Coturnix japonica: one gene and its partners. The protein of the gene in region 1 interacts with the protein of each later gene in a biochemical or structural test. Links are inferred from orthologs where the notes say so. Each region holds a gene or a part of one and is shown in the gene's direction. Other genes may lie near its edges. The genes, in order: RALA, EXOC2 and PLD1.

Region 1 (8,031 bases):
TGATATATTGGACACAGCAGGGCAAGAAGATTACGCAGCAATCAGAGATAACTACTTCCGAAGTGGAGAAGGCTTTCTTTGTGTTTTCTCTATCACAGAGCTGGAGTCATTTGCAGCTACTGCAGATTTCAGGTAGGCTACAAGGCAAGTTATTGTAATTATGGTGAGGTTCTTGTAATTTATTTATATATATATATATAAATATATAAATATATATATATATATATATATATTTTTTTTTTTGCAATATCATTAGGTAGTTTAGAATAGATGACTGTAGTCACGTTGCTTTGAATAGATGCCTAACCACGCTTCTATTATCTTTGTACCACTACAGATATCTTTGCTGCTCTGTTGCTGAATACCGAAGAGGTTATTGCAACAGAGCAGATGCATAGTAACATTCAGAAGGCTGCTGCCCTTTCTAGATCATTGTTGCTTGATGCTTACACTACAGTGCAAAGAATCACATCTCTGAGTAGGCAGCCTCCTCAGTGCTGAGGACAGAGGGACAGACACCTCCCTGATCCTGCTCACTACAATATTTGTTACAACTCAGGATGCCACTGGCTTCTTGGCCGTCTAAGCACACTGCTGGTTCGTGTTCAGTCAACTGTCAACTAGCACGCTCAAATCCTGTTGGCCCATGTGATTTGCCAGCCAGTCGGCTCCAAGTCTGGAGCAATGCATAAGATTACTGTAACTGAAATGCTAGACTTGGCACTTGGTCTTTTGGATGTCGTACAGTTGGCCTCAGCTCATCCAACCACATCTGTGGGGGCTTCCTGCTCTCTGGAAGATTGGCACTTCTTCCAAACTTGATGTCATGTGCATACTTACTGAGGATGTATTCAATCCCTTTGTCTAGATGTTCAATAAAGATATTAAATAAGGCTGGCTCCAGTACTGACTGCTCTGGAACATCACTCATGACTGATCGCCAGTTGGATTTAGCTCCATTCACCACTAGTCTTTGGGCCTGGCTCTCCAGCCAGTTTTCTTTAGGCAGTAAAGAGTGCACTTGTCCAAGCCATGGGCTGCCAGCTTCTGCAGGGAGGGTCAGAGCCTTTAATAAAATCTTTGTAGATCACATCCACAGCCTCTCCTTCATCAACTAGGTATGGATTTAGCAGGCTAGTTGTTTTATTATTTTTAGGATGTTTTTCAAGCATACGAGGTATTAAAACCCTTGTAATGGTGGGAGATTTAGACAGCATTGTATTGAGTGTTTCATTTTGCTTGAGAGCCTATTTAAAACACTCATTCCGCTATCTATGAAGGAAAATATCTTATTGCTGTGATATATATAGAGTAAAAATAGACACCGCTCCCCCAAAATTTTAGCAGTTCAAAGTTAAGCAAAATAGAGAGGTAAGATGCAGATCATTTCCTTTTCTATTATTAAAATAAGCATTCTTAGAGATCACAGAATCTCTAATCCCTGGGTTAGAAGGGGCGTCAAGGATCATGAAGCTCCAACCCCCCTGCCTGGCAGGGCCACCAAACGTCCATGTTTACTAGATCAGGTTGCCCAGAACCCCATCCAACCTGGCCTTGAACACCTCCAGGGATGGGGCATCCACAACATCCCTGGGCAGCCTGTTCCAGGACCTCACGACTCTCGTAGTAAAGAACTTCCCCCTAACATCCAACCTAAATCTTCCCTCTTTAACTTAAATCCATTTTGCCTTGTCCTACTATTATCAGCCCTTTCAAAGAGTTTACACCCTTCCTAATTATAGGTACTCTTCAGGTACTGAAAGGCTGCAATGAGGTGTCCCCGCAGCCTTCTTTTCTCCAGGCTGAACAAGCCCAGCTCTCTCAGCCAGTCCTTATAGGGGAGGTGCTCCAACCCCCTGCCCATCCTCCTGGCCCTCCTCTGGACCCTTTCCAAAATCTCTGTGCCTTTCTTGTACTGAGGGCTCCACACCTGGACACAGTATTCCAGATGGGGCCTCACGAGCAGAGTAGAAAGGGACATTCACCTCCCTATTCCTACTGGCCACCCCTCTCCTGATGGAGCCCAGGATACCATTTGCTTTCCAAGCTGTAAGAGCGCACTGCTGGCTCATGTTGAGTCTTTTGTCCATCAGGACCCCCAGGTCCTTCTCTGCCAAGCTGCTCTCAAGGACTACACCTCCCAGTCTGTACAGGTGCCTGGGGTTCAACCTCATTAGGTTCACTCAGGCCCACCTTTCAAGCCTGTCAAGGTCCCTCTGAATGGCATCCCTTCCTTCCTCCATGTCCACCACATCGCTCAGCTTGGTGTCATCAGCAAACTTGCTGTGAGCGCACTCCATTCCATCGTAGATGTCATTGATAGAGATGTTAAAGAGCATCGGTCGTAAGTCAGATCCCTGGGGGACATCGCTCATTACTGGCCTCCACCTGGACACAGAGCCATTGATCACCACCCTTTGTCTGCAGCCTTTCAACCAATTTCTTATATCCATCAAGTGGTCCTCCCATCAAATCCACATCTCTCCAATTTGGGGATGAGGATGTGGTGGGGTACCACGTCAAAGGCCTTGCTCAAGTCCAGGTAAATAACATCGGTCGTCTTCCCCTTCCCTTCATCAACCAATGCTGTCACTCCATCATAGAAGGCCACAAGATTGGTTAATCATGACCTTCCCTTGGTGAAGCTGTGCTGGCTGTCTCGGATCACTCGCTTGTTCCTCGTGTGATTGAGCATATCGTCCAGGAGGATCTGTTCCATGATCTTCCCGGGCACAGAGGTGAGGCTCACCAGCCTGTAGTTCCCTGGGTCCTCCCTGCTCCCCTTCTTGTATATGGGAGTGATGTGACCCTTCCTCCAGTCATCCGGGACCTCAAATGTTACCATAGCTCAGGTTAATTAGTACAAAGCATAGAATGCATCTTCTCTAAGGGTGGAGAAGGAGTTATGGAGAGGGGAGACAGCAAGCTTGTCCCCTTCTGGTCTATGGTTTTGTTTGTTCGTTTTTTAATTTATTTTTTCTCAGTATATAAGTATATGTATCCTTTAAGAGAGAAAGAGAAAAGCCTAGGCTGATTTACAGGCTTATGCTACTTATGGCAGTCCTGGAGGGCTAGTTGAATGCGGTGTTACAAGCTGCCTCCAATGTGCATTTGCTGGTTAAAGAAATGAAAAGCTAACTCAACAAAACTAAATGCTACAAAAAGCAAGACATCTTTTACCACCAAGAGGATTCTGATGTGTACCAAATGGAAGGATTTAACAGAAGGATCTGTTAACTCTTTCCAGTTTCTTTCTGTTCTATGTAAAATCCGCCAGTAAGCTTCACCTCAGCCAGAAAAGGGAATGTGGTGCTTTGTGCTTTTTCTTGAACTTTCAGAAACTGTTTCACAATGGAGGGCTAAATTCCACTGCTGACTTTGTACTCCTTTCTGAGATGAAGGAGACAGTGCTTGTCTTCCAGGAGCAGTGTTCTTCAGATTGATGTACCAAAGCATCTGTAGTACTCGGTTTTATTTATAAATTTAAACTCTTCATCGTAGTGGTTCAGACAGGATCTTTCCTTAAAAATCTGACTTATGTGCAGGCTTGTTATCCTTAAACTGGCTTATAACTGAATCAAGATCTCTGTAGGGGCTGAATGTAAGTGACTTCAGAAAGATTCCTGAAAGGGCAAGATTTTTCTCTTGTTAAGCTATATTAGTTTACTACCTAATTGATTTCATCAGCTTTAAAAGTGGCACATGCATTTTGTTAGGAAAAATAGTCAAATGTAAGAATGTAGTCTGGGTATATTAAGAATTGCCATTACTAATAGCAGCATAAAGGCAGTGAGAAGTACTGTCAAGTAATATCTTTAGTAAAAGGAGAATGTCATTAGTTTAAGTTCTCACTTGTTCAACTTTGTTTATTTGTTACTGATTCATCTTCCTTCCTTCCTGGAAGACTAATAATCTGTCTTGGTTTAAAATTTTGCTGTTATTTAAGTTTCAGAAAAAGAATGGAAGAGTTTAAGTCCGCATTCTTATTTTTGTGTTCTAAGAATAGTATTTTATAAAGTAATTTATTTTTTGCTTTTCTGTTTTTCTCTAGGGAGCAGATCTTAAGAGTAAAAGAAGATGAGAACGTTCCTTTTTTGCTAGTAGGTAACAAATCAGATTTGGAAGATAAAAGGCAAGTTTCTATAGAAGAAGCAAAAAACAGAGCTGATCAGTGGAATGTTAACTATGTGGAAACTTCTGCAAAAACAAGAGCTAATGTTGACAAGGTAATAACTTGCCTCATAACTCACCTAATACAAAGAATCTCTGTCAGTTTTTACTTTATACTTCTATGGGTCTATAGTTTACATGTTTAAGTTATTTAGTCTGTTTTTTTTGGGGGGGGTGGATCTCAAAACAAATGCTTTTCTCCTATTGCTTGTGATGAGAACATGACTAAGTTGCTTAATATAAAACAGTGAGAATGCATTAGGCATAGAGAGTTATCACATCCTAAACTGTGATGAGTTGAGTCATTAGACAAGACCTTTTATTGTTAACAAGTTATTGAGGCAATTGTGTTGGCCTTGCCTTCTTGTGTTTTCTGTAACTGGAAGATAAAACTGCTTCTAGACAGTGAGAATGCTGCTTGAGGAATAAAATGGCTTAGAAAACTAAGGGAGGGATTGGAATCCTATCTACCCTTGTCTAACCACATGCCTGTGTGTTGTTTCAATGAAGAATGGATTTACTCTTTTAAGTTTTAAATGGGCCAGAAGTGCCTCATGAATTTTCTGGGATAAAGGCTGGATCAGAAGGTCATAAGAATGCACAAAGAATATTTGTTTCTAAGATGATAAATGACTGATTAGTTGTAAGTATTTCACTTACTGAGAAGACAGGACTTCTTGAGACATAGCATTTGGAATAACTCTCAGCTTCATAGACTGAAAAAGTAGTAGATATCTGGGGAAAGTAAGAAGCTCAGATTAAAGCGCAGATTTTTTTCTTTCATACCTCTCGGTAGACATGATCACCCAGAGATTTTCTAATGTAAATGCTTACAAATGAGTAGTTGAAGTGTAAAAGCAGTAATAAAAGTACTGTTTTGCAGTAACTTAAACTTTACTGTAGTCATTTGTCAGTTGTTGTTGCAAAGAAGTGGATTGTTCAGTGCTAAAGTAAAAACATTACGTTGTTCTGCAGGGAACATTAAGTCAATTAAATGCAGAGCAATTCAGTTGCTTTTAGTTTTGGTGCGTAATTGCAGTTAACATCCACCTATTTCAGTCTTGCAGAAGTTCTAAGGTCATCTGGATCTGTTTCATCATCCTTTAGCAGCAGGGGGGAAAAAGTAAATATTTTTGATATATATAACCAGTAACTTTTGCATTCATGTGATAGGCTACTAAAGGGCTCAAGGCTTCTTTTTGGAACAGGTGGCATTATGGATCCAGGTAGATATGTATTACATAGAGTTCAGATTTGATGATCCATAAATTAGAGGCATAGAACGGCTTGGGTTGAAAGGGACTTCAAAGATCATGTAGTTCCCATCTCCTTCCTACAGACAGGCTTGCCAGCCACCAAATCGGGCACTAGGTGAGGTTGCCTGTCCAACCTGGCTTTGAACACCATCCAGGGATTGGATATCTGCAACTTCTCTGGGCAACCTGTTCCAGTACTTTGTTACCCTCAGAGTAAAATAAATAAATAAATAAATAAATTCTCCCTGATATCTCATCTTCCCTCTTTTAGTTTAAAACAGTTCCTCCTTGTCCTGTTGCTGTCCATATAAAAAGTTGTTTGCCCTCCTGTTTATAAGTTCCCTTTAAGTATTGAAAGGCCACAGTGAGGTCTGTCCTGATCCTTCTCTTCTCTAGACTGAATAAGCCCAACTTCTTTAACCTTTCTTCCTCAGAGAGATGCTCCAGCCCTTTGATTGTTTCCATGATCTTCTGGACCTGTTTCAAAGTGTCCACATCTTCCTTGAGCTGGGGGCCCTGAGCCTGAATGTGGTACTCAAGATGGGGGGGGTCTCATGAGGGCAGAGTAGAAAGGCACCCTCACCCTGCTGGCCACTCCTCTTTTGATGCAGCCCAGGATACCATTGGCCTTCTGGGATGCAAGCACAAGCTGCTGACTCCTGTTTAGTTTCTTTTATCTACCAGAACCCTTAAGTCCTTTTCAGCTGGGCTGCTCTCAAGGAGGCTTTGTTGGCCGTTGTAAATACCAGGTATTAGTTACTAGTTTTCTTAAAGCATCTGACGTTACAGGGTTTACTATATGAACTTGAGTTTGTATTCTATAAAAAGAGTTGCTTCCCTAAATTCCAGAAGGGTGAGTTTGGGCTTTCACTCAATTTGGTAACAGTAAGCAAATGAGCATTTTCTCACACTAGGTTAAGTATCCCAGGTACTGTGGTACATTGCTAGGGCTTAAGCAAGGTGACAGTTGCAGCATACCATTAATAGAGGTTTAAGCAAAAGCAAGTAACTTCAACATCTAGCATCCTAACGGCAGTTGTATTTTTTGATGGAAACACATAGTTGCATTTATTTTCCTCATGTACTCTGTAATGAAAGTTTATGCTTCTGCTGCAGTCAACATGAGATTAGTGTCAATGCAGATAAAAATGCCTGCTGTATTCTGTAGAAGAGTGTTTTGGTCCTTACGTTGTCTGTTGTATAGAAATGGATCAAGCCCCCCTGACAGATAAAGAGGGAAGTCTTCCTGGCAGAAGTTTTACAGTTGTTCAAATGATCCACTGTGATAAAATAACAAAGATGAAAGTTATTTTCAGTAGCCCTCTTTAAGGCAAGATTGTATTAATGAATGAAGTAATTTAAAGGATCTCTGTCATAGACCTGAGCTTACAGCCTTTTCTCAAGTGACACACTGATTTGTCTCCAACTTCTGTTTCCTACTAAGCTACTTGATAATAATGAAGTTTATGCATACTTTGAGATTTCCAATCTAAAAATAGCTTATGTATTTGTATGGGTGACAACCTGTTTTTAAAGGAAATGCTAATTTATTTTTGCTGCACTTTTTGTTTAGACTTGCATCATGGGGCATAGAGACTGAAATGTTCAGTATGTGCTACTGCCTCATTAATGTGCTTCTAGAACTAATTGTAGCAGTTCTTCAACCTTTGCGGTTCATTGCTGAATATTCTCACAATGTAAACTGATTTCCCTGAGTCTCCGCAGTAAAATATAGATAGAAAATGGAAAAGAAAAATCTCAGGTAGTTATATGAGTCTTGCTTTAATTCTTCTGACGTGATTCATAAGCAAACACCAGAAGCTAGTTGAACTACAGGTACCATGAAAGAAGTAGACTTGCATTATGTGGGCTCGGCCTTGAAAATAAGTGGGAAATTTGCTGGATTAGTGTTTGTTTGCTCAAACTGATTATGTATTGCTGATTTTGTTCTAACCACCAGAAGTAGATGTCATCAGTGATAACCTGAACTAACTCTGACAGTGTTTTGGCATTTATATTCTTCCATCTTTTCCAGGTGTTTTTTGATTTGATGAGAGAAATTAGAGCCAGAAAAATGGAAGACAGCAAAGAGAAGAATGGGAAGAAGAAAAGGAAAAGCCTAGCTAAGAGGATCAGAGAAAGATGTTGCATTTTATAATCAAAACCCCAAATTCTTTTCCTACTTTGACCATACTAATAAAAAAACCATAATTTATAAGCATGCCATTGAAGGCTCAAGTGACTGAAATTACTCTAACGTGTTGGAAATTGTAATGTACCACTAAAAGCATGAATTGGAGCTGCACTGAAAGTCAGATTCACTGAAAAAGGTTGATGTGGCTTCAAGAGAAGCAAACCATTTCATAATCGCCTACCTTCTCACATTTCTTCTGAATGTAGTGTTTCATTGGAAGTCTTTTCTTTATTAGTAAACAGAGGGGGAAATATTACTTTCTGGTTTCTTGTAAAGCATACTTTTTTTTATCATTGATAATTGTCACTTTGTCTTGTCTTTCGTTGCCTTGAAAATTACAGTTGTGAACGTGATACCTAACAAAGCGGCATACACTTGTTTTGCCATGGAGTTATGCAGATTAGGAAAGAA
Region 2 (8,031 bases), about 15 Mb from region 1:
AGCATGCAAAGAGAATGTGCCAAGTTATTGGATTGACATGTCAGAAGTTAGTAGAAGTAGAATCTGCTCCCGTAGGTAGAATTGCAGCTGCTTGCAGTTTCTGCTAGATTGCTAGATATTATTGTTAAATAACTTACAGAATGTATATTCACAAAAACATGCTATAGGCTGCACTTCATTTCACAAAGAATTGCCTTATAGGAGGTCAGTCAAGTTCCCTTAAGTTTTGTTTTTGACAGGTTCTATAAAAGACAACTGTTGCTTAACAAGAGCTTTTTTTATCTTTTTTTTTTTTTTTTTTTTTCCTGTAATTTGAACAAAGTATATTGTCTATTTGGAAAGTATAATCAGTCATCCTTTATCCATGAGCTTCCTAGTTTACTTTTAGATTATTCATTACTAGTGAATAGATAAATTGTTAATGTAGAAGGGATTTGGGAAGAGCAGAGAAGGGAAGAAATTTTACAATGTTTTTCTAAGCCCTAGAAGAGAAACCTATTCTGAAGAAAGCATTGAATGTGATCAAGGCATTGGATTTAACACACTTCATTTTCTAAGTAAAACAGGAAAAAGAAGTAAAATCATTTCCTTAAATTGAGTATTTTACATCATTAATTTTGTACAAATGAATGTGCAGTTTTGAACTGGAGATGGAAATCACTGTGCAGTTGTTGCAGTTGCCAATTGACTTTGAAAAAGTAATTAGACATTTGATAAGGCACTGAATTAAAGAAATAGTGTTTTGTGAATAAAACGTAGTGAGTACAGTACGTTTCTTCTTGACCGTTAATAGAATGCATGAGAAACACATGAATTCAAACAAACCGAATGTATTTACTCAAAGGGCTCAAAAAAATTAACATTTGTTAAAGCATCAAGAGAAAATAAAATCAAACTTCACCAGTGATCTGTATTTAGATATCCAGCTAGTTGTTTTCATTGTGTATCTCTCCATAGTGGGTTAAAGTATTTTATATTAAATAGTATGTAGTAGGAATAGCTGTCGTGACAAAACATTTTTTTACATCAGGGCTTTAGAATTTCAACCAAGTTTAAACATTATTTAGATATAACAATTATTTTACAAAGACTACTTTTAACATGAACAGGCCACCCACAGTGTTGACTAGAGAAAATGGCATGCAAGCCACCCAGTGAGACTGATGTAATTTTTTTCATCTTTGCTTAAATTATAGTCACCAGACCAGATAATGTAGAAACTTTTACATGCAACGATCAAAAAGGCTAAAACATTTCCAGTTCTTTTTTTCTTTTATTGGTTAATTAAAAATAAGTCACGAGTTGAAAAATGCAAATAATCGCGTGCGAATATAAATGAAATACTGTTAATCTCTCTGGAAGTATGGAAAAACTCTATTACAAAATAGAACACGTTCCATCATAAAAGGTTCTAAGGATTTCTGTGTGGAAGAATATCCATGAATAATATCACAATGTAATTGCATGTAATTATTGTCCTAGCCTTTATCCTGTATGTGATGAAACTAAACAGGGTTTAAATGCACGGTGAAGACAACAATATTCATTCTGTTACAATTACCAACTAGTTAATTTTTCAGTCACACCATTGTCTGTGATTTAATCACCAGTACTTCTAAAAGTGTTTCTTTTAAATTGAACATTACTAATTGTATTTAAGAATTAATTTGAGAACACTGGATGCTTGCAAAATTCGCGGTCCTAACTCTGGAAGCTATAGCATTAATTAACATAATGAAATTATACTTTTCTAAGAGTGAAAACTTTCTGTGACTTTTTCCATATCCTGAGATGCATAATTTAGTTGTAAAAATGTAGATCTGGAGCCAAAGCAAGCTATAAAATATCTGCAACAAAGTTAAGCATTTGAAATAGGAAAGAGTGATTGTTTTTAATTGCACAGGGGTCTTACCACATTAAAATGCTAAGTGGTTCCCTCTGAAATAGTATTTCATCAGTTGTAAAATGTAAAAACTGTTGCACAGAAGAAACAGTAAAAACTTTGCAATAGTTATTCATTTTCTCTAAAAAAGCTTAGATGATGATGCCATTCATTAAAATGAGGAAAATCTGCTTATGATTTAAACCGTTTACTTGCTCTAATTTCACTTAACTTCATCCTTTTTAAAACAGGAGCCAGTAACACAGCAGATACTTTATTCCAAGAAGTGCTGGGCCGCAAGGATAAAGCTGATTCAACAAGAAATGCACTCAATGTTCTTCAGCGTTTTAAATTTCTTTTCAACCTTCCACTGAATATAGAAAGAAATATCCAGAAGGTATAAACCTTTAAAAATACTTTAACCTTTGATGAAATGACTGTTACCTTTTAATAAATATAAACGTTTATTTGTTTTTTATTGTTGTTTTTAAGGGTGATTATGATGTGGTTATTAATGACTACGAAAAGGCCAAGTCGCTCTTTGGAAAGACAGAGGTTCAAGTATTCAAAAAATGTAAGATATGTATTGTATTACTTCTGTTTATTCTCAGCATATAAGCTAAAAAGCACATAGTAGTTAAAAGAGACATATGATTTTAATCCTTAAAAGTTATGTGTATATATAGGAAAAGTTAAACAATATTTCTAGCAGATTTTCTATGCAAGGTATATTCACAGTCAAATTTACTTATTAAGACTGGACATTTGGTGAGAGAAAAAAGGGTTACAGTGACTGAAAATGGGACTGTGGATAATTCCAAAGTACTGTTGGAAAGATTTCAAAGTATGATATTTTTTCATAGAACTGTTGTATATGAAAATGTCAGGTACATATTTAATTTTTTTCCCATAATAAATCCAAAAGTGTCTGATGTCCTAGAAAAATAATGTAATTTTCAGTTCATGCTACTACTGAAGGCACGGGTGAGATTTATTTCCTCTCCTCACTCCTAGATTATGCTGAAGTTGAAACCAGAATAGAAGCTTTAAGAGAACTTCTGTTGGATAAACTCCTTGAAACTCCATCAACACTGCATGATCAGAAACGTTATATAAGGTAGTCATTCAACTTTTGTCTTCTTTGGATTTATGATATTAGATATTTATTGTTTCCTAAATAGGGTAGTTACTATTTTTTTATGATAGTTTGAATACTGCTTTTAAAGCTGAAAGTAGATTGTGTTGTGATTTTTTGAATATATAATGATTTTGGATTGATGTTTGATTGTTTATGGAGTGATCGAGATTGTAATTTTTAAAAATCATAAAGGTATGTTCATTTCTTCTTCTAAATCATCTCATTGTAAGCTATGTATGAAATGATCCTTTGTAAGATGCAGATCTCAAAATAGACTGCATATTAACTTGTGCTCCATTTCAGCGTGGTGTTAAAAATGCATCATTTTGAGTCAGATAATAGAAAGTTTTTAATCCAGAATTGAGTTTAAATTTGTTTTTGACTCTTTTACTATTCATTCTAAATAATGAATGTCCTTTACATTTCATGAACATTTACCATTTTTCTACTTTTCATTAAAATTCCTATATTTGCTCTCATTCTGTAAGGTTATGTCCAAGCCAATGGTAGGATTACTAACATGAGTTGCTCGGACCTTATCCTAACAGTAGACCTTAGCCTTCTTTACAATCCTTGGGAACAGAATTTAGAATGCTCTGAAACATTTGACGACGTTACTAGCAAGCTTTTGAGCCCTGAGTGTTGGTAGGACTCCCAGTGTGGCTTGATATTCTCAGTGTTTTTTTTCCACTTATCTTAAAAGTTGAAGACCGAATGCAATATGCAGGTAGCATTCTTAGAAATCTGACACCTGTGTGAGGTCTTTAATGTTTTTTTGTGTTCACCCAGCCCAGTTTCACAGGCAGGGAATGCTGGAGTCTTCTGCCCTTTTACTTTGTTAGTTTATGAGGACAGTGACCAGTGTGCATTTAGTCCTTCTCATTCTTCTAGGTGCCGTGTAAATATTGCATATTTGTTAGAGTTACATTTTAAGATGAGGAGTGTTAAACATTTTGTGTGTCTTGAAAAAGCTACTGTTTCTTTCTTTCTATTTTAGTCTTGAAAAACCTTAAAAATAACTTTTTTGTTTTTATACTTTTAAGGTAATGTTTAACATATCGCTGAACAAGCAAGAAGATGCATTATTTCCAGTGCTAGTGATATATGCGTATTTATTTATTTATTTATTTATTTATTAAATATTGTGTCTAAACAATGACTAAAGTCCCCCTAAATGTTAAGGAAAGACATGAGCTCATAGTTTATAAATACCACCCTGTCAAAATGGTTGGTTGTGTAATGTTCTCATCTATCCCACCAATTGTCCTTTGACAGTTCATTTTGTTCATGAAAGTACTGCAGACAAGGAAGACGAATTTTTGCAATGCATTCGTAATTAACCTTAGGTGTTATTATAGTAACATCACTTCTGTGAAGGAGTTAAAACGCTCACTGCACTGCTTAAGAGAAGTTAGTGTATTTCATCTTGAGCATCTTGCATTTTTGAATTTGTCCTGTGTTTTTAATGCAGAATATAATGGAGATGGTGGTGGTATGGCAATCCCACCAATACTCTGTAATATTTGTTGCCATATGACAGAGGGCAACAGAGAGGCAGTGGACACAAAAGCATGAAACAAAGGTGTGCCATTAAATTCCTCCATGTGAGGAAAAAATGGCACCCACTGACATTCATTGGTGTTCCTCAGCTTTTCTGGGGAGCAAATAGTAGATGTGAGTACAGTGAGGCAGTGGGTGATGCATTTCAGCAGTGGTGACAGTGAGTTGCTTCCACTGGGACAGATATTTGAGAGCACAGCATGAAGGCACATGTTCATTACTGGTGAAAATACAGAAGTAATGGTGGTGACTGTGTTGAAAAATAGTGTTTTGTAGCTGAGAATTTGCTCTTCGTAGCAGTTGTAGTTTCCATGGAAATAAACAGGAGAGGCATTACTTTTGGAGCAACCTGTGTTTGTGAGTGTATATATATATACATATAAATAAGATGCAGTCCCACAGTGTGCGCACAACCTAATGGAAAATAAAAAACAACAACCAGGGGCTTAGTTTATATTTGCCTATGCATGTCCATGGTTGGATTAATGAGCCACCAAAAATTAGTTCCTTCTGTACTTTCCTGTTCCAATTGATACGTGCAAAGTGGGGAGCAAAGTACCATATTTTATATGCTTGAGATGTCATCAGAGGTTTCAAGTGAAACATGAAATACTGATCTGCAACTTTGACAGATAAAAATCTTGGTTACCAGAGAACACTTCTAGAGGCACAACAGAAAATACGTACCTAATCTGATTTTCAGTGTATGTGCTTTTGTATATTATTATAAGGGTTTTTTAGTAGAATTTTGCTTCACTAAATTAGGAAGTGAGAATGCAAAGTTTGCATTTGCATTGGGTACAAGTTCTTGAATTTTTAAAATTATACATCTCTGTGTATATGTGTGTATAAATACATATGAAGATATTTCTGTTTTAATGAGGCCTTTAATGTGTCAAGTCAGAGCTGTGATTTTTGGACTGGATTTTGCAGATATCTTTCTGATCTTCATGCGCCTGGGGACCCTGCTTGGCAGTGCATCGGTGCTCAGCATCAGTGGATTCTACAGCTCATGCACAACTGTAAGGAGAGCTATGTTAAAGAGCAAAAAGGCAAGGATATGTTTTTGTTACTTATATGTATTTGACACTTAGGAATTTGGCATTGCCTTTTCTTTGACAAGTTTTAGTGTGTGAATGATGCTTTTGGTTGTTGTTGTTCTCTGCTTAATTTTGATAGCTTTTCACAAAGCTAAATATTGAACTATATATTTTTTTCTTTATTATAAAAGGAAAGTATCTGTTAGAATTTTTTTTATTTTTTTATTTTTTAACTTAGAACTTGTAAGCTTCTTAAATGGGAAAAGCATTAAATTTCAGTCGTATATTTGAGGTTTACAGTCCTCCAGAAATAGTCCTCCATCCACTATCTAGAAATAGTACTAGAAAGTCACGTTAAATCCACCATTTATATTCTTCTTCGTACAGTATACTAGTAGTGTATTGTTATGAAGGACATCAAAGTACCATGTGATAAAGTCTAATTTCTTGACATGCAGTAAATGATAACACAGGGTTCTCTTACTCTTTTTTGCCAGTGCAGTTTCAAAACTGATTCTTTTTGTTCAAACACAGACCTGTGAGATTATCTTAAGTATTCAGTTTGTCTATTTTACATTAAGAGCTATATGAATATTTAGCTGTATTCTGTCTAGTTCTGCCAGTGTTGTTCCTTGAAGAAATGCACCCTCATAGATGCTTCAAAGGTGTGGCAGCAATTGAGCTACCAGTCATAATCCATCACATCTTTGTATTTTCAAAAGGGAATTGGCAGGAAACTACAGACCTGGTGTTTCTAGGAGTTAAATCTATAACCTGGATTAGAAATTGAAAATACTGTGTTGTTTCTCAAGTAGTCTTAACAAGTTTACTGATTTTCCTAAAATGAGTAGTAATTCCCGTGTTTAGTTTTGTTGCTGTTTATCCCAAGCCAACTAAGATGTTCTCTTCTGAGAAGCACAGTAATTTTTCTTAGTCAGAGCTGTGGCAGATAAGTGCTGTGAAATTAATTGCTGCAAGATTCTCGCATTTTGTTCTTCAGCAGAGATTACAACTTCAGGTATAGGGTTCGCAGTGTGCTTAATGTGACAGTGATGTCAGTAAGTTGTAGCTTGAAGTATACATGGACTTTTTTTTTTGCTACAACACGTTATTGAGTGCTATGGGACCAGCTGGAATGCGAGGCTGATTTCTTGTACTCATAGTCAAAATCCAGAACATTTCCAAAACCTCACCATCTCTCATCCTTCCCAAAAACCTGAGAGACCCGACCCTGCAGTATATATCCGTGAAGGGCAAAATTCACTAGTGAAAATGGCCAATATTAATGATTCTAAACTATCTTTTTCTCCTTTCAGTTGCAAAACATTATATACCAATCCCTTAGCTTCTTATCTAAGAGAAAAAATAGGGGCACAAAGATGTTAAATACTTGTGACTTCTTTGTTGTAGTAGTCTATATAATATTGATGTGCATGGTCCAGTAATTAATCAAAAATGGACCTAAATTCCACGGCTTGTCTTGAAAATCTTAACCTTTTTGGTGTTTTTCTTGCAACAATTCTGCTTACCTCAGCCTTAATATCAAAGGAACTTATTATGTTAGCAGCTTTGTTTGGCTCACAGATGGAGAAATTTGCATAACTTGTCTGCCCAGTAAATGCATGTATGAATAGTTAATATTTGCATGAAAAAAAAAATGCTAATATAGTATGACTTTTATTTTAAAAAGCTAGTATCATTTAAATAGTTTTCTTTCATCCTTTTCTATGGTCCTTAGTTTTTGCGCACATTATATTGATCCTGATTCATAGTATTCCCCATTCAATATCAGCTTGAGCAAAGGAAAGTTGCTAAACTCAGTTTCTTCTTTCCACGGATCTTTAATTTTAACATACACCAGAGGGGAGAAGGCAAAGAGGAAACTTGGAAGAGTTGGTATTAACTGCCAAGCAGAACAGTGCTGACTGTGATCTGAGACATGGAATTTATTTTCATCTACTTTCACTGATGCATAATTTTCTAGAAGGAAAAGAGTGTTTTTTTTCGCTCAGATATCAAATTGGTTTTGCATGACTTCAAGGACTCAAATCAACTTGAAATCAGAAATAGGTTTTATACATTCATAAACTCAGAAGTTATTTTTATAACATAACAGTAGTAAATTTTCAGACTAGTTTCCTTAAAATATGCTTCCAGAAAAGGTTTTGAACATGAAGTATTTGGAGGAGGAGGTGGGTCATAATGTTGACAGCCTCTTGACAAATGCATTAGATATTTTCCTAGGTTTCTCTCCTCAGTACGGATAATATCCTTTGTTTCTAGCAGATGGTGTCTGCTAGAGTATGTGAATAGTCCCACCTTGAATGTACCAACATTTGTGGCTGATATTAGCAGTTTTTCTGTTGGTTCAAGCTAACTGAATCAAAGCTCTTCAGTGGAGTAACAAATTG
Region 3 (8,810 bases), on another chromosome or scaffold:
AGCTTGGAGTTAACAAAACAGGCTCTTCTTTCTTCTTCTGTATGTACAATGAATAGAAATGTAGTATGATAAAGACTGAATGGAATATAATATGTTGTTACACGAGGAAATGTGTATAATTTCGTTCCTAGACAACAGCAAGAAAGGGATGCTGCAGGGAACGCCTCGCAGTGATGGGGTCTGAGCAGAGAGAGGAAATCAGGTCCTGCTCCTGCGAGAGGGAGAAGCTTTGTGAATGAGGAGCACGGCTGAAAAGTGCTGGTTTGGGGCTAATTGTGCTTGAATAACTGTACAGAGCAACACTGCAGCTGGAGAGGGCACTAGGGGTCACCACTGCCTTATCTGTGTCATCTCAAATCGAGAGTATGATAAATGACACAAAGGAAACCAAATCCAGGCTACGCTTTTTTCCCTCTTTCTTCCTCCCTTTCTTTCATTTCTTTCTTTTCTTTCTTACCCTTCTTTCTTTCCTAGCTTCCTTTTCCTTTTTCCTTTTCCTGTGGGCTGGACAGCTTGCATTTTACTTCCTTTTTTTCTCTGCTTCAGGCTGCCCGCCTTCTGTCATTCAACACCTTGAAGCCTGTAGGATGAATCCAGAGAGGATGCTGCAGGAGGAGAATGGCCGCAGCTTCTGTGCAGCTCCCATTAACTCAGAGCAAGGGTTGGGCAGATGGCCTGTGCCAAGTCAGGCAGAGTCACATCGCGGCCTTGGCGTGTTTCTGCAAGAATTGATTGCTGCAATGAATGGCACCCTTGTAGTCAAGAGAGTTCTTCCTGACACGTTTTGCTCTGCCCCACCAGTAATCCTGTGTGTGGAGCTCTTTGTCCCCTGCTGTCCCAGCACAAATAAGGATCCCCAGTTCTCACACAGCCGCCTCTCAGGTCTGTGCTGGGAGGGGAATCTGCGCCTGGGCTGTGAGCTGAAATGCAAATCTTCTTTTCTGATGTCTGCAAGTAACCATTGGTGTGGGCTGACTGTATTGTCTGAGTTTTGGAATTGTGCTTTTTAAGGCAGGATTCAAGGTGTGTGTGGAGAAAGGCTGATTTTACCGAGGCAGGTGATATGTCTGGATGGTGCCCTGTGATTGGATGGGTGTTTATGGCACACGAGAGAACACAAGCACAGATATATATTCCTGGGCCAGCACTGAGATGATGGAGCTGTCTGGAGAATGCTATTTTGATGGCAGGTTCTGGAAAAATGTGGGGACTTTGGCCAGCCCAGTGCTTATGGGGCTAAGTGATGGCAGCAGGAGGGCCAGGTTAATGTCAGCCCAGGTACACGTGTTCTGTGGTCGTGCCTTCATCCAAAGGTGGGGGAGTTCTCTGGCTCCCTATTTTAGGGTTTTATGTAACACCCAGCTTATATAAGCCTTTGTCTGTTAACAAAACAGGTGGAGCATATCTTGCGTGGATTTGTCACTGAAGAAACACTCATTACTTGACTCTTACTCAAGTGCTCGTTACAGACTCTAAGAATATTTGTTAGTTCCCTTCTAGCTGCCAATAATAACGTACCTCCTTGACAACCTGCTATGGATGAACGATAAAACGTGTAATTCACCCATTTAATGAACTACATCTCAGAATACATTCGAAACAATTCTGTTGATGTAGAAATGGGAAAACCAAGGCATCCCCAAACCCTGGCCTCGGGCTGCATCTTGCTTGCCTTTGGGCAGGGGACAGTTTGGGGGTACTGATAGGGGAGGAAGGATGGTTTGGCCCCACAGGGAGATGAGGGGCAGCCTGAGATCTTGGGCTGGAGAGGACTATGAAAATTGTTTTCGGATAGACTAGCCAAGCTCACTCAAACCTGCCATTCCTGCTCCTGCTCAGCTTTAAATAGCAAGCCAGTGCGCATCTCCGCTTAGCACCATATGAGCCGGTTTGCACTCTCCTTCCCCCAGATGCTGTTGGCTCACCAACATGCCTGGCATTGCTCCAAGCTCAGAGCAATGCTGCACAGCACAGCAGCTCCACTTCCAGTGCCTGGGACTGACCCTGCGGCCACATGAGGGCATCCCGGTACCCACACAGCCCCAGAGCAAGTTGGCGAGGTTTTTTTTCCTCTTTCATTCACTCTTCTCCCTTGAGAGGAAAAAAAAAATACACCCAAACAGCAAGAGCTTTGTTTTTGTTTCCATGGGAATTTTGCGAGAAGGGGAAGGTGTGAAAGCAAACTGAAATATCCCGGCCAAGCGCAATCGTGCTCAGCAGCCACAGAGTCATCTCACAGCAACCCAACCTGGGGGTCTGCTGTCCCCTGGCCGGGATGGGGCTGTGGGAGCTGCAGTGCCACGGGGGGTGCCACAGGGCAGGACTTGGCCATGAGACACGACTACAGCTCCCAGGAGGCAGCGTGGCACGGCGCAGTGCCCGACTTCCTCCCCTGCCTTTTCCTCCCGGGGGGTGGCAGCCTCTTCCCTGGGAGGATATGGGAGGAGGGAAACAGTGCGGAAGAAGCTGCTCTCCCTGCTGCAAGAATGCTGTTTGTGAGGCCTGCAGGAGCCAATGGCAGCTTTCTCCCTCCACGTGCTGTTTGCCTGTGGCTGTGAGCAGCGCTTGGCACAGCTCTGGGAGCACTGCTGGCTTCTGTTCCTCCCCTCTCCCATGCTTGGACACTGCAGTGCCCAGGGGTGAGACCAAAGTATATATATATTAAAAATGCCGCTGACATTGTCCCTAACATTCCCACCCTGGTTTTCCAGAGCCCAGCAGTGTGGCTGTGCACACTGTGCACTCACTTTGGATAAGCACACGTGGCACCCTTGTGACAGTGGGAAGCATCATTGGAGAGCTGCACAGGCAGTTCTGGAGGCCAAAAGTCAGTGGGAGGAGAGAATAAAGGAATCCCCAGCCCTGCCTGCTCTGCGGTCACCCAGTATCACTGTGTTTCTTTAGGGCTTGAGGTATTTGACTTGGCATGCACCACTCATCTGCTTTGTGCATTGCCTCTGGGTCAGGGAAGGTGATGGGAATAGTGCTCAGGGTGGAGGAAATGTGGTACATTGTTGCCATAGTGCTCAACAAGAGGTTTCTAAGTAAGCCTAACCTAAGTATGTGTTATCCGAGTTACTGTTCATGAATTCATTAATATCTCCCAGAACTCAGCTAGCCAGATGTGGGCATGGTGTGTGCTGTCCCCTCTCTGCAACTGGGGGTGGTAGCAGGCATGGTCCAAGCAGCTGTGGGGTCAGCAGGGGAGCCTGAGCAGGTGGCAGAGTTAGGACATCCCCTGCAGGCAGTGCCCTAAGGGGTGCTCCATCACCTGCCCTCCAACACTGCCCACCCCCTGTTGTCATGAGCAGTGTGAGGTAGCACATCCAGTCTTTGCCTACGCTTTAAAATGAGATGGGGATGCCGCTACCACAGGGTGACTTTCTATTGCTTCCATTTCCCTTGTTCTTTGCTTCAGAGTTCCCTCTGCTCGTCTCCAGTGCTTTCCTGATGCTGAGTGCTACAGATGCCCATGCTGTCCCCTTGCCTGATACCACCTTCATTCACATCTCCCTGTGATGCTGAGCAGAGCAGTGTCGGAGCTCAGCACCAACAGAAGTGTTGCAATGCTGCTTGGAACCCAGCTCAGATTGGCCAGTCTGATTTCAGGCATGAAGGGCATCCCCCACACTGCTCTCAGTGAGCCACCAGTCAGCCAAGACAGGGGAAGCCCACTCTGAACAGGCTGAGCTGACACGGGGCTGTTTAAGAAATGAAATAAATCCCTTAAAGAGGAAAACTATCATAACATCCATACTGACATCTTAACATTGGCACCAGTGTGGGAACGCTGAACTCCCTGGGATAAGTCACCATGATGGCCCTGTGTGGCTGCAGCAGGGGAGGCTGTGGCACTGCAGAGAGGTTTGTGAATGCTCCCAGCACCCCAACACGGCTGCCAGAGCCGCTCAGCATGTGGAGGGCTTTGCTTTTCCATTTGTCAGTTCAGGGCTTTTCTATCTGTCCCTTCCCCAAAAATCTGCTTCTTTGCCTATTCAAAAGCTCTTTGAGAGTAAGTATGGGGAGCAGCATGAAAAATACAGCATTTGCATGCTGCTCAGATACAGACAGTAAGTGACCGTAATTATTACGTTAAAAACACCATTGCCTGTGTGTTGAACTCGCTGTTAATTTGCTCTGGGTTTCTCGTTTGCTCCCCTACCCAGAGGTTCCTGCTGGGTGTCCAGCCGGCTTATTCCTACTGCAGCAACCGAGAGGGCACAAGAGAGGAAGGCGCGTCCTCCCGGTGGAGCTGCGCTCGGTGTTACCCCCAGCGTGCAGCAAATTTCCGCCTTGAAAAAGCCAACTTTCTCCCCCTACTAAACGAGCATTCCTCGCTTATTATTTTTCCTTCGACCGCGGAACACCCTGCCCCGCGACGAGCCACAACCTCCTCCTCCTCCTCCTCCCCCCGCCCCTCCTTCCCTCCTTCCCTTCCTGCGCTGTCCCACGCCCGTTGCTCTCGGGGAGGGGTTTCCCGCAGCCCGCCCTGCTCACAGGCTGGTAGCGGCCGGTCCGGGATTGGGGCCGGTGTAGGGGTGTTGCGGGGCGAGGTGCGGCCCGGCCCCACCGCTCCGGGACAGCACAGCGCAGCACAGCGCAGCTTGGGACGGGACGAGCGCTCACGGCGCCATGGAGCGGTCGCTGCCCCGGGGGCAAGAGGTGGGTGCGGAGCGGCGCGGAGGGCGGCTCGCTTTGCTTTGCTTTGCTTTGCTTTGCTTTGCTTTGCTTTGCCTGTCGGTGCGGGGAGGGGAAGGGTTGAGGGTTGAGCTCGGGGCGTTCATTTGCGGGCCCTCCCCGCGCTGTGCTGGGAGCAAACTTCACTCCCGAGAGGTGCCGTCCGCACCGCGGTGTGCGCTCGGGATGCCTCGCTCCTGCTGCTCCTGCTGCTCCGTAGTTCCGTGCCGGGCTGGGGTCAGGAGCTCGGGGCCATGTCCCGCATACACCCCAGCACCTCGTGTGCTGCCCAGCTCCACCCGAGGGCCGAGACCCGACGGCTTCCCCGCAGCGGCCCCCTTGGCACCCCGGTAGTCTTCTCCACTGTTTGCGTTTTGTCTTTATTAGGCGTGATGCTGCTTTGCTTTCAGAGGTTGCTGCTTAATATCCGGAGCCCCTGAGAGTTGCCCTGCGCTGTTGGTTACTCCAGCAGTGACCCTGCAGCGTGCCCTGGGCTGTGCGTTAGTGTCCGCGCCCTGCCTCGAGGTGAACGCACGGTGCCTCAAGCGTTGGGTGGATGTTTTGGGCAGATCGCTTTTCCTTACGGTCCCATCCCCGACAGCGGGTAAAACCGCGTTAAATGTGACATTCCGCGGAGGAGGGATGGCACCACGGCACTGCAACAAGCACTGTTTTGGTATGGCGTTCCGTTTCTTAGCTGCTTCCTTTCGCTGTTTGGAGAGTGGGAACTCCGTTTCAACAGTCTTTAACTGCTCAAAAATTAGTCCATGGCACCAGGCAGCATGAGCTCATGCTGATGGTTCACAGGTCTCTGGGGACTGTACCTGTGCACTCGGGATGCTCGTGGCAGCCTCAGCCCTGACCCAGAGTTTGGAAACCCCCTGGCTGCCCTTCCCTGTCTTTCAGTGCTGCAGATGATCCTTCTGTTTAGGTTGAACTTTTCTCCTTGGGTTTCTCACTGAAACACCTGTCTGCACACTTAATTTTGTTCGGATATGTAACATCCTCCTTTTTGAGGATTCCTGGAGATGGGTTTTCAGGCTGTGGTCTTGCTGGAAAAGACCCAGTTGAGTGATTTTCAAGGTTTCTGTGCTCAGAACTGTTGCTATGATGGGGGCAGGCGGTGTCCCATGAGCTCTTGCAGATCCAGGAGTTTCCTGGGATCAGAGTTGCAGTTTCCTTCAGCTGCTGAAGACACAATTAAAGTTAGAAAGAAAGAAAGAAAGAAAACAAAAGCAGGAGGCTGGTGAGCCTGGCTGGTGACTTCACTCTTTCAAGAAGCATCCTGAAATCACACGCCTCGACGAGAAAGTTGCACTGCTTTTCTTACTAGCGATTGTAAGGGCTTGTGTCAGCTTGACACTGTTATCCCCAGTAATTGGTGAGGTGCTCTTTAGACCGCAGGTGTGGCTGCAGCAGAGGAAGGATCCCGTGTTTTACAGCAGGGCTGTTCTCCAACAGTGATTCGGGAAACGTCTTTATGCATGAAGGAAGTGTGGCTGTGCCTTGCTTAGTTACGAGCTGAACTTGGCTTGGTACACAAATTCCCTCCATGGAAATGGGTTTAAAGCAAGTTAGCAAATCTTCAGGGACTGAAGTATCAGGGGAACACCATCGCTGTTGGTGCTGCCACCATTTTATTCCTGAGAAATAGCTTCGTAAAGCAGGTATCAGCCATGGGTGTTCCTACAGGCTCTTGGGTTTGTCCTCCATGAGGGAAATCCTCACTTGAGCCCTCAGTTTGAGTTTCTGTGGGTGTCAGTTTGATGGCGTGCCTGATACAGGAGCACCAGGAGCAGAGTATGGCCTCACGCCTTGCTCTGCTGTGCATGGGATGGCCTGTGTTGTTTCCTGTGCTCTTTGGGGCTATCTGATGGAAATCACATTTCCATCCTTTTTCCCTTCCCCAAACCTTGCTTACTCCACTTTTCACCAAAAAGAAGGCTGATGTGGTTTGTTGTTTCAGTCTGTGGTCAGGTGTTCCTGTACAGATCTGTATGTGATTATTTTAACAGGTATTTGGTAGGGCAGTGGAAGATGGGGGGGAGAAGGAGTTGGGTGGAGGAGAATAGCTCTGTTCCCAGTGTTTCTCTCCCAAACAAGCACTGTGCTGCTCTCCCACCCACATGGCATAGGAAGCCCAGAGCGGTGGGAGGCAGCTGGTGTCTGGGGGTAAGCAGACACGTGTCCCTTCCCTGCTCTCATGCCTGGGGGAGCAAGAAGGAGGCAGACATATATTTACAGGTGGAGTTAGTGCCTGATGCTCTCACAGTGAGAGCGAGGACTCAAAATGCAGGTTTGTAAGGCCAAGATAAGATGGCTGTGCCTGGGGAAGTGGTGAAGTCACCATCCCTGGGGATGTTCTTGACCCATGGCAATGTGGCTCTTAGAGGCATCGTCAGTGGGCATGGGGGAATGGCTTGGGGTTGGGCTTGAGGATCTTAGAAGTCTTTTCCAACTTTAATGATTGTATGGTCTTGAGTTGGTTATCAGGCTCATGTGCCTGAAAACATGATGGAGAGTGAGACTAGATGGGGATGTTGCTGATTGCAGCCCCATGGATGTGGTAGCATCTCCCTGATGAGCGTCCTATGGCTGCATGGAGTCATGTTGGGCATATGTGGCATTCACAGCACTCTGGTCTCCAAATGGTCATGTTTCAGCACCCTCTGTGCTCTGGGGGCACGATGCTGACCATATGCAAATGAACAATGCTTCCCTTTGACAGCAGTGCAGCCAGTTTGCATTTGTTATCTTTGTGCAAGAACAGTGTCCTGTCCTTCATCTCTTCTTTTTGGCAGATGAGGTTTAGCTAACGGATGAAATGGTCCACAGCCCAAAGGAGCAGGCTGTGTACAGAGAAAGGGTGCGGTAAGGAGGCAATGCAGTGCTGGAACAGGCATTTAGCAGAAAAGAAAGTGCACAGTTCACAGCCATTTCCCAGCGGGGATGGAGCGCTCCAGCACAGCTCGGGGACACAGAGGGCACTATGAGGCAGACAATATCCCACAGATCAGCACCATGACACGCTCTGTCCAAGTCCGTGCAAGTGGATGATTCACATCCAGTTGTTGTTTCTGCTTATCTCGTTGTGCAGGAACTTGCTTTTCTGCGCTCCCCGTGCCTCGGGGCACATGGGTCATGGACACATAGGAGGGATATGGCACAGAGCCGCTTCACCAACACGTCTCCCAAAAAGGATCACCTTTTTTAACTGAAATGTTTCTTTCTCTTCCCACCACCACCCCCAGCACAACCCATGTTGTGAGCGTTGGCTGTGCATCGTCTCTTTCTATCTGAGTAAAGCAGAGTTACACAGTGCGGTTGGCCAGCATGAAACATGCAGATATGCCCAGGTCTCCATTGCAGCCAAAGAAGATGGGAGCGACTCAGAGAGCAGGCAGCACATACTGTGTCCTTTCAGAGGGAAATATCTTGGTCTCTCGTTCCGCTTTCTCTAAGCGTCTATTCCTGTAGCCCCAGTGAGATGCTGTAAAATGTGTTTTTCCATGACAGAAGTTCCCAGCAAACTGATATTTTTTGCAGGGGTCCCACCCAGCTGTGAGCCCTCCCAGTGTGGAGTAGCAGTGAGTCACAAGTGCCTTCAAGAGTCTGTGGTGTGACCGATCCCAAGACATTTTGGCAGCAATTGTGGCAAATGAGCCATTTTGTTTGCTGGCAGAAAGCACCAGGGATAGGAGTGCAGTCTGAGCCCTGGCAGGGTGCTTTTTTTCCCTCAAAACACCGAATGTTTTTCTTTCTGCCAAGCAGCCTCTCTTTTCTTTCTTTCTATTTCTTTCTTTTTTTGTAATGTGCAGAAAGAATATAACTGTCTGCAGAAACCTCTTAGAGAGCATCACTGTACCAGGAGGCTGGGATGGAAAACAAGGGGAAGAACGTGACTAACCTGGGGCTGATAGTGGGCAGGTTTCCATCTCGCATTGAGCTCAGAGGGCTCAGCTTGCAGGTCATAACCTTGGGGCTCTGCTGGCTTCTAGGAAGGGCCATAAGGTGATGGGGACATCCTGTGCTGGGGTGGGACAGGGGAGGAATGAGCTCCACTGGGGCTCAGCAGCATCTCCCAGTGCCTGCACCATCGTGATGGATAGAGGGAAGGGTGAAAAAGAAGTCTG

The links.
Region 2: the proteins of RALA (region 1) and EXOC2 are reported together in a solved structure, tested with the Homo sapiens proteins (2 studies listed by BioGRID, with this or other methods). The link is inferred for Coturnix japonica from reciprocal best matches to the Homo sapiens genes RALA and EXOC2.
Region 3: the proteins of RALA (region 1) and PLD1 form a complex in vitro, tested with the Homo sapiens proteins (2 studies listed by BioGRID). The link is inferred for Coturnix japonica from reciprocal best matches to the Homo sapiens genes RALA and PLD1.

Annotation. Positions count from the first base shown.
Region 1 is NC_029517.1:76,745,184-76,753,214, reverse strand, and holds part of RALA (ras-related protein Ral-A), read left to right. Parts: coding exon 1-132; intron 133-4,051; coding exon 4,052-4,226; intron 4,227-7,461; coding exon 7,462-7,584; 3' UTR 7,585-8,031. UniProt on the Homo sapiens protein: Multifunctional GTPase involved in a variety of cellular processes including gene expression, cell migration, cell proliferation, oncogenic transformation and membrane trafficking.
Region 2 is NC_029517.1:62,003,233-62,011,263, forward strand, and holds part of EXOC2 (exocyst complex component 2), read left to right. Parts: intron 1-2,133; coding exon 2,134-2,279; intron 2,280-2,374; coding exon 2,375-2,456; intron 2,457-2,896; coding exon 2,897-2,999; intron 3,000-5,513; coding exon 5,514-5,632; intron 5,633-8,031. UniProt on the Homo sapiens protein: Component of the exocyst complex involved in the docking of exocytic vesicles with fusion sites on the plasma membrane.
Region 3 is NC_029524.1:17,243,723-17,252,532, forward strand, and holds the start of PLD1 (phospholipase D1), read left to right. Parts: upstream 1-4,440; 5' UTR 4,441-4,662; intron 4,663-8,810. UniProt on the Homo sapiens protein: Function as phospholipase selective for phosphatidylcholine. Implicated as a critical step in numerous cellular pathways, including signal transduction, membrane trafficking, and the regulation of mitosis.